2 linked regions of the Tribolium castaneum genome follow. The protein of the gene in region 2 purifies or fractionates together with the protein of the main gene of each other region. This does not show direct contact. Links are inferred from orthologs where the notes say so. Each region holds a gene or a part of one and is shown on either strand. Other genes may lie near its edges. The genes, in order: pescadillo homolog and Noc3.

Evidence for each region.
Region 1: the proteins of Noc3 (region 2) and pescadillo homolog purify together in Homo sapiens (affinity purification with mass spectrometry; 3 studies listed by BioGRID and IntAct, counting the BioPlex papers as one, with this or other methods). This does not show direct contact. The link is inferred for Tribolium castaneum from reciprocal best matches to the Homo sapiens genes NOC3L and PES1.

Annotation. Positions count from the first base shown.
Region 1 is NC_087395.1:18,779,868-18,784,185, forward strand, and holds pescadillo homolog, read right to left. Parts: upstream 3,007-4,318; 5' UTR 2,704-3,006; coding exon 2,680-2,703; intron 2,629-2,679; coding exon 898-2,628; 3' UTR 773-897; downstream 1-772. Other genes in the region: pelo (protein pelota), read left to right, coding at 571-659. UniProt on the Homo sapiens protein: Component of the PeBoW complex, which is required for maturation of 28S and 5.8S ribosomal RNAs and formation of the 60S ribosome.
Region 2 is NC_087396.1:23,831,457-23,835,726, forward strand, and holds Noc3 (nucleolar complex protein 3), read left to right. Parts: upstream 1-1,156; 5' UTR 1,157-1,259; coding exon 1,260-1,414; intron 1,415-1,468; coding exon 1,469-1,623; intron 1,624-1,670; coding exon 1,671-2,018; intron 2,019-2,064; coding exon 2,065-2,198; intron 2,199-2,254; coding exon 2,255-2,455; intron 2,456-2,501; coding exon 2,502-2,872; intron 2,873-3,136; coding exon 3,137-3,757; intron 3,758-3,810; coding exon 3,811-3,997; 3' UTR 3,998-4,023; downstream 4,024-4,270. Other genes in the region: Hasp (complement factor H), read right to left, coding at 475-523. UniProt on the Homo sapiens protein: May be required for adipogenesis.

The sequences.
Region 1 (4,318 bases), on a different chromosome or scaffold from region 2:
TTTAAAGGTCCAATAATGAACTCTTTCAAATTATTAGGATATCCTGTATCTATAAATTTTTTTAATCATATTATCATATAAAGAATTTGCACAGTTCTAATAATAGTAATAACTTTAGGCAAAATAGGTCTCATACATTTTAGTCTTTTTCGAGTTTTTAGGCACTTGTTTAGTGCAAAGATTCTTTAGTTAACACATCTCGATTATAATTATGTCAATTTTTGTAATTAAAAGAATGTTTATCCAAAATAAAAATAAATAAGATATCACGAAATTAGGTCTTAAAAATGCTGTTTTACATTTTATGCTCTTTTTGAGTTAAATTTCAAAGTATATACTTTTGGAGTCTGAGTTTCCAATAACAATTTCGTTCACGAGAAAATTGCATCAAAAATCCCTTTATTTTTATTTATGTTTCTTGTGTTACGTTTTTTTGTTTTGTTATAATTTTACGTGCTAAAAATTGACAAGGTTGTAGAAAAAATTGTTATGTAACTCAAAAATACTTAGATGGGGCTATACTGCTCACTGAAAAAAATTATGCAACTGACTATCATTTTTGCTTTCTAGAACTAGAACAATTGACCGGCATTGCAGCAATTCTCCGCTTCCCAATGCCCGAACTCGACGAAGACGATGAAAGCGAGACCGAAGACTAATCATGTCAAAAACACTGGTTGTATTCGCGTTTTTAACTCTTTGTTGATCATTTTTAAATAAATTAGGGAATTTGTTGTATATTTTTAATTGTTATGTGAATAATTGCTGTAGATTTTTAGTGAATTCCTTCAATTCTATTTATTTATAAGATGTACAATTAAGTAACAGGAAGATTACTATTTATTGCATAACTTAATCCACTGAAATATTTTATGTACTTTATAAAAAATAAAATAATTATGAAACTGACGCGCTTTTTTGTTGTTTCTTTTTCGCTTTCTTTTCTTCTTTTTGTTTCTCATCGTGTAATCGTCGCTTCTTCCTCAACAACCAAATCTCTTTCGCCCTTTCTTTGCGGCCGGCCATCATGCTCTTGTACAGTTTTCGGTGTTTGTTTTTAACCAACTTTTCCCTAAGTTTATATTCCTGCCTCTCTTGCCGACTCTTCTCCCAAGGAACTTCCTTGTATATTTCACCTGGAGTTACCTTTAATTTCTTTTTCACAGGCGCCGTTTCCTCCGCTTCAACTTCTTCATCCTCGTCTTCTTCTTCCTCTTCTTCAACTTGTTCGTTCGTTGTGTCTGCATTTTCAGTTTCTTCTTCTTCTTCGTCTGCATCCTCATCACTTTCTCCCTTCTTATGCAACTCCTCCAAAGCTTCAGGATCATACAGAGCCTTTTCCTCCGGAGGCATATACTCCTGATGCCGCCCTTCGTTAGTAAACGGCGATAAATGCGGGGGGAGAATCTCCCCCATAAAGTATTTATTAACAGGGAGGAGTTCCCTCGCATTAACACTATCAAAAATCCACTGGGGCTGAACGTAATATCGTGAAATGTATTGCTTCTCCATTGAGGGTCGATCAACAATTTGGTGCGTAATCGACTCGTCATTTTCATCAAACGTGGCCCCCACAAAAAGTAACTTATCCCACGAGACTTCGCCCCCGAAACAACGGATAATAAACACGAGAGGTTCTCTTGGAACTTCTCGATTCAAAAAGAACTTCAGTCCCTTGAAAAGTGTCTTCAATTTTTTTATTTTTTCAGCCTCAATTCGCGCCTCTTCGATTTTCTCCGGACTGTTCTCAGTGTTGAAATTATCAATTTCGACTTCGTCCTCAATTGCTGAATTCGTACTTTTGGATAGAGGGAAATTAAGGGCTGCCACACGTTCTGACACAAAAATCCCCTCGTCTACGATTTCTTTCTCACTGTCTGTTTGGCTCAAATTTGTGAATTTGGGAGGATAGTAAAGATTTAATTGGTGGTAGAGCCGGAAATTGACAAAACCCAACATAATCGTGTAAAACTCGACAAAAGTCGACATTAACTTAAAATCGACTTCGGCCTTGCTCTGGGGCTCGAACGCGAAATGGTGGGGCACAATCCACGTAATGGTCTCACCTTTGATTTCCGCTTGGTAGTAATACCCCTTGATTGAAATAAAAACTTTCCTTAGGGCCTTGGCCTCGATCACCGCGTGTAAAAACTCAATTGTGAGCCTCTGACACAGCGCACTCTGGTCGCGGGGGACGTGAGGGATTGACGGAAACGTACTGAACAAGAAACACAAAGTGAGACAGTCGTCCAGGTCGCGCAACGCGTCCAAAAACGTGGGGTATCGCTCTTTGACAATGTGGTCGAGTTTCAAAGTTGGGTGGTTATTCAGGTATTTCTTCAACGATTCGAAGTCTTTAACAGCTCGGGCACGCCCGACTTTCTTGTTGAAGATTTTGTAGTCGCGAAGGCGCCAAATCATGGGCTCGTGTAACAGAAATTGGATGTCTTTGACGTGGTAGAGGGTTTTGATACCGGACTGGCCCTTCTGGGCACGTTTGCGGTTTCGGGGCTCACGGGGGTAGATGCCCTTAAGGATGCAGATGCGGCGGAAGTCGTTGAGGGATAATTGGAGCTTTTTGAGGGCCGCTTTGCGGGTCATGAATTGGGCACCCTCGCCGGTTGTGTACTACAAAGTGATAATGAAACATTTGAAATGGTAAGGTAGGGGTGGTGTTACCTTCTTTTTGCGTTTGGAAACCATGTTTTAACAAAATAATACACTAAAACGTTAACAACTGGAGAAATGCCAACACGTGTTGTTTTGAGGTTAGAGTCCGCGAAATGACAGATCGTCCACGGTGGTAGGAGTGCGCAGAGACGAAAACTCGTCTCGGACGAGTCCAATCTTTAAATTAGGGGTGTTGGCAGAAAACAGTGGCGTGGCGTGTACTTACATCTGTAGGGAATTCGTCTTAAAGTTTAACATTTCAATATTACCAGTTATAGTAAAGATACCAGTAGAAACATTTTTTGCAATAAACGCGTTTTTACTCTTTACTCATTGTGTATTTTTATTTATTCGACCTCTCTGCTGTGTATTTTTAGGAAATCAACGTGTATTAGCATTAGATATGATTTTTACTATTTCATCTTGCAATTATTGAATAGAGGAAATTTTAACTACTACAAATTATGAATCTCAAACCCTTCTTGATCATAGAATAGTTTTTTGCTACGCCACTGCTCAATCTCCTCACTCATGGCCTCCTTGATGTATGGAGACAACTTCGTTGTTCAGGCCTGGCGCATCGATAAGCTTCAGCGGTTTTTTCGAGACCGTAGATGGCGCCCTATTTAGCGCACTGACGTTTATCTGACAAATAGCATTTGTGAGGTTAAATCCGACAAAAAAATTGAATTTAACAAGTACAATTAGCAGAAGAGAAGGTGAAAAAGAGCTTACAATGTAATTGTAAACAAATACAACAATAAATACAAAAACTCAAAAAAATTAATAAAGTAGTAGATTTTTTTCGGGAGTTTGGTGATTCACGAGCGGTGCGTGAGAGTGAGCAGAGGTCTAGACAGGGACTATAATTAACTATAATCTATGGCAGGGACTTTGGAACGGACGGTCCAGAGATACTCCAGCAGAGAGTAACGCAGCAGAGGAACGCTGGATCGAGCTTTTTTAAACCATTTCATTTGAAAAAAACGACATTCTTTGTACATTTTACTAAAATTAAATTAACAATAGCAGGTTTTGAAAATACGTGTGTGCAAAATAGTTTCATTTGCCTAAACAATGTATTGCAAATATCTGCTGATTAAAAGGTTGCAAATACCTTTCAGAAAACTTAAGCCATGTCTTAAAAATCACAGATTTGTAACGCATTCTACCTAAACCATTGGTAAAACCATATAGTATGCCTAATAAATGAAAGGTACTTTGAAACATCGTTTTCTTTAATATTTATAAACGATGACGAACCACCAATTCACCCTAAAATAATTTGTATATCTTCTGAAGCTGAAAATAAAAAATCCTAATGATCGTAAAATGATTTCCTGCAAGAGTTACACTATCCAAACGTTCGTTCAGGGCACAACTTTAGAATTATCCTCACATTTCCTACGTATTTCACGAATGCACATTTACATCTTTCAAATTTATTAGTCTTTAACCTCAAAATTGGTATTTGTCAAATAAACGTCAGTCCGCTAAATGCAGCGCCAGTGGAGAATCAGCCGAACTTAGCGATGCGCCAGGCCTGAACAACGAAGTTGTCTCAATACATCTAGGAGGCCATGGCTCCGCCTATCGTGGTCGTTTACAGAGTTTCCGAGCTCTACCACTAATTTTCGCACTAAAATTT
Region 2 (4,270 bases):
GTTTGATCAGACTGGGGATAATAATGTTAAACAATTTATTTTTATATGAAAGAGCAGCGCAAAGGTAGAGAATTTATGTATTTGCATAGCAAGTCGCGTGACAAAAAAATATTTCCCTAATTTTATTAAAGTAAATGTTTCTGAAACCGTATTCGGAGTGCATTTGCTAATGTGTAACCGCAGAGAAAAGCCCAAAGAGCGGTGGTTGGGCAAATGCAGCAATAACGAATTTAATTACAATCCATTTATCTTTGTTTAGGCCCTACTACAAAACACAAGTCAGAGTTTGAACGCGTAATTGGTGGGTTTTTCGTTCTATTGGCAAAGTTTGCTCCAATTCGCCGAGATGATGATAAATTTGGCGCAATTAGTATTCATTAGTCGCTTAGGGGTTGATAAATCACCCCTGTACACACATTTGGCGCCCACACATGAAGGATTTTTGTTGATGAGACAATAACGTATTGTTCTTACCTTGGCTCACGGCGATGCCAAGAATCAACCAACTCCACACTTTGTGCATGTTTACAAAGTTTCCAAACACACAGATTTTACATTATTGGTGCAGAGTTTCAAATAAATTACATTTTTGATTTTCACATTGTTTGGATTAAAAAAAATGAATTTTTGTAATTTTTTTTGAGCCGCAGCCGCACGTAATTTTACGCCGAAAGCTCGAAGTCAATATTTGGAAAACACACTTCCGGTTCTAGCGACGGCTGTACAGCATCTGATTCTGCCGTGATCTGTGATGTAGCCAGACGCCGCGACGGCAGTGGAAGGGCAGAACAGACGCCTGAAAAATCCAGTTCGCGCCAAATACGAATTCAAGCTTCGAAAGCTTTTGGGCAAAAATTAACAATTATTCATTTTATTTGAATTTTTTATCGCGCATATGGAGTATATAGAACTCATATGAGGGTAAAACGTACTTTTTCTACTTTGGTATCACAAACTGTTCATTGTGAAACCGAAAGAAGTTTCACAAAGAGAACTTTTGTGTATAAAAGTCCGGACAATTAACAAAATTAAAAGGAAATAATTTAAATCGATTTTGATAAGTTTAACTAAACAAAAAAAAGTATAAGTTATAACACTTGTTCTAATGAACCACGACGAAGGAATTCGAACTAAGCCGATTTCTGGCAAACTTTGTTTCGACTATCCAGAAATTCTCCAGTTCTGGATTGGAATAAACAACGATTGAGGTTAGGTGGGATTATAAAAACGTGTTTAAATTTGCAAAAAAAAATAAAAAAATGGGAAAATTGCAACATTCCGAAAGTGAGGAGGAAAATGATAGTGATTATGGGGAGGACATGCTTGAAATGGTCGAAGAGGACGACTTGGACTTCCTCAAAAATGCCATAACTTCAAAATCGTACAACATTTTCAACAAAGTCAAGTATTCCGGGTGAGATTTTGAATAATGTATAGGAGATTTTGCTCAAACCCCAGATTTTTCAAGTGCCCCTAAACCCAAAAGGCGCCGCTTAAATAATGAAGACTCGGATCTGGAGAAAGAGTTTGAGGAGCAAACTGTTGAAGACACCCCCATGAAAAATCTCCTACCCATCAAAACTAAGTTTGGAATTGTGCCGCAACAAATTGAGGACGAGTCCGGTTTGTTTAACTTGTGGGTGACGCTAAATTCTATTTTAAAAATTTAGGCGAGAAATCTGAAGATGAAGCCGAAGAAGACGAAACGCAGGAGCAGTTTGACCTAGTTGACGATAAAATTGATATTTCGAAACCAATTCCTGCGGCACATTTATTGGCCGAGCGACAGAAAGTTTTAAGAGAGAAAAAAATTCACATTGGGACTTTGAGTGCCGGTGTTTTGGAAAATCCCGAAGAAAAAGTAACAAATCTACGAACTTTACTCAAACTAATGGATGAGGAAAGTAGCGAAGTGTTTTTCACTGTGAGGAAATTGGCCACTGTGTCGCTCCTAGAAGTGTTCAAAGACGTTTTGCCTTCATATGAAATCAAAAAAGTCAACAATGATGGAGTGAAATGTTGGTATTTTTTACGATTGGTTTTGTGTTTAATTACGGTTTTTAGTGAAAAAGGATACATTAAAATTACAAAAATATGAAGAAAGTTTAGTGCAATATTACAAAAAGTTTTTGCAAAAGCTTGAAAAGAACTCTTCGGTTTTGCTCAAGAAAAAAGGTGACACAAGAAAATTTCACGAAGTAATTGATTTGTTCTTGTCACGTAATATTTCTCTGATATTTTTTTTCATTTGTAGGAAGAAATTAAATTGGCTGAACTAGCAGTGCAGGCATTATGTGACTTACTAGTTGCACACCCTTATTTCAATTATGCCCAAAATATAGCACAAGCTGTTGTTCCCTTCTTAAATAACGTAAGAAGTAACATACGGGAAATTGCAAAAAATGCAATAAGAACAGTTTTCAAGGAGGATAAAAGGGAAGAAATCATACTAAAGGTGAAAATAATAAAAAATTATTTACTTTTGTAACGTTTTATTTAAGATTTTACGAATAATCAACGCCTATTTAAAAAACCGAGCTCACAATGTTCATCCCGACATGTTAGAGACATTCCTTGTTCTTAATTTACGAGACGTTAATTTAGACGAGGAAAAGGAGCAAGACATTAAACAGAAAAAATTGATGGCACGCAAACAAAAAGTACTACAAATGTCCAAAAAAGAGCGCAAACGTAAGAAAAAACTTCAAATGTTGGAACAGGAATTACTAGAAACTAAAGCTGAAGAGAACAAACAGTCAAAACAGCGCAACTTGACTGAAATCACAAAAATAGTTTTCGGGGTTTATTTCAGAATTTTGAAAAGTTCGACCAATAATAAAGTTCTGGGCGTTTGTCTAGAAGGCCTGGCAAAGTAATTGTTTAACTCGCGTCTTGATTGGTGGGAACTTTGCCATGACATCAAATTTGACACTGTACAACTAGATTTTCTTAACTTTTATATTTTTTTTTCAATTTTGATAATTTTGAAACAATAAACAAGTTATGAAAAGAAAAAATTAGGTTCCAATTCATCATCAACTTAAAAAATTACGAGATTACGTCGCTGTGGTGATTCCCTATCAATCAAAGCGGCTTGGTTTAAGTTATCAAAATTATTAACAATCTCCAATTTCAGGTTTTCTCATTGCATAAATATAGAATATTACTTAGACCTTGTCAACATTTTGGACAATTTATTGAAAGAAGAGTGGATCGGTTACAGAGAGCAGTTACATTGCGTCCAAACTGTTTTTTCTATTCTGAGCGGACAAGGAGAAGCTTTAAATGTAGACCCGACTCGTTTTTACACCAATTTATACAAAGGTCTCCTCACAACCAACGCCTCTAAAAACCACTCAAATTTTCTTATTCTTTTGAAAACACTCAACGATGCTCTGATCAAAAGACGCAAAAAAATAACAAATAAAAGGACGCTCAGTTTCGTGAAACGTTTGGCCACTCTTAGCTTACAATTGTTGCATAATGGTAGTTTAGGGAGCCTTGGTCTTATCAAAAACATAATGCAGCTTAACAGAACAGTGGATATCCTCCTAGACTTGGATAATTCGTTCGGAGACGGAAAATATCAGCCAGAACTGGAAGACCCTGAATATGCGAACGCGTCAAGTACCGGTTTATACGAACTGAATTTGTTGGTGAGACATTACCATCCTGTTGTCACCAAATACGCCAGAAATATCGCTTTTGGGGTCCCCGCCACGGGGGAAGGCAGCCTTGACCCCGAATACGCCAAATGGTAAATAAAAAAATTTGAATTCAAGTTGGTAACGCCGAATTGTTTTGTTTCAGCACACCTGAGCAACTCTACCACGATTTTGACATGTGTGAAATGGCCTTCAACCCCCCTGTCCCTGTCCCCAAAAAAGTGGCCCCTAAGGAGAAGCACCAAAAGCACCTATTTGCCGATTCGGCCTTCGAGAGCCAGTGCAAAAGTATAGTTAGGGCACATTTGAAACGCAAAGCGAGTTTTTTGTAAAATAAAAGATAAATTTTTTGAATTTATTAGAAGTTGGTTTTATTGGGTTTGTCCGTCCGCCAGGTGGCACTACCCGTTTGACGTTTTCTAATAACAAATAATGACAGAAGAAACGTGAAACGTCAGTGTCATTCTCATTAGGATTTTTGTCAATAAATCAAAAATATCATGTAATAATAATTTAATTTAGCTTTGTCCTTTATTATTTTTGTGTGTGAAAGCGTATTTTGGGCGGAGGCGGTTCAGTGGTGGTTTTGGTTGAAAAAAGGTAAT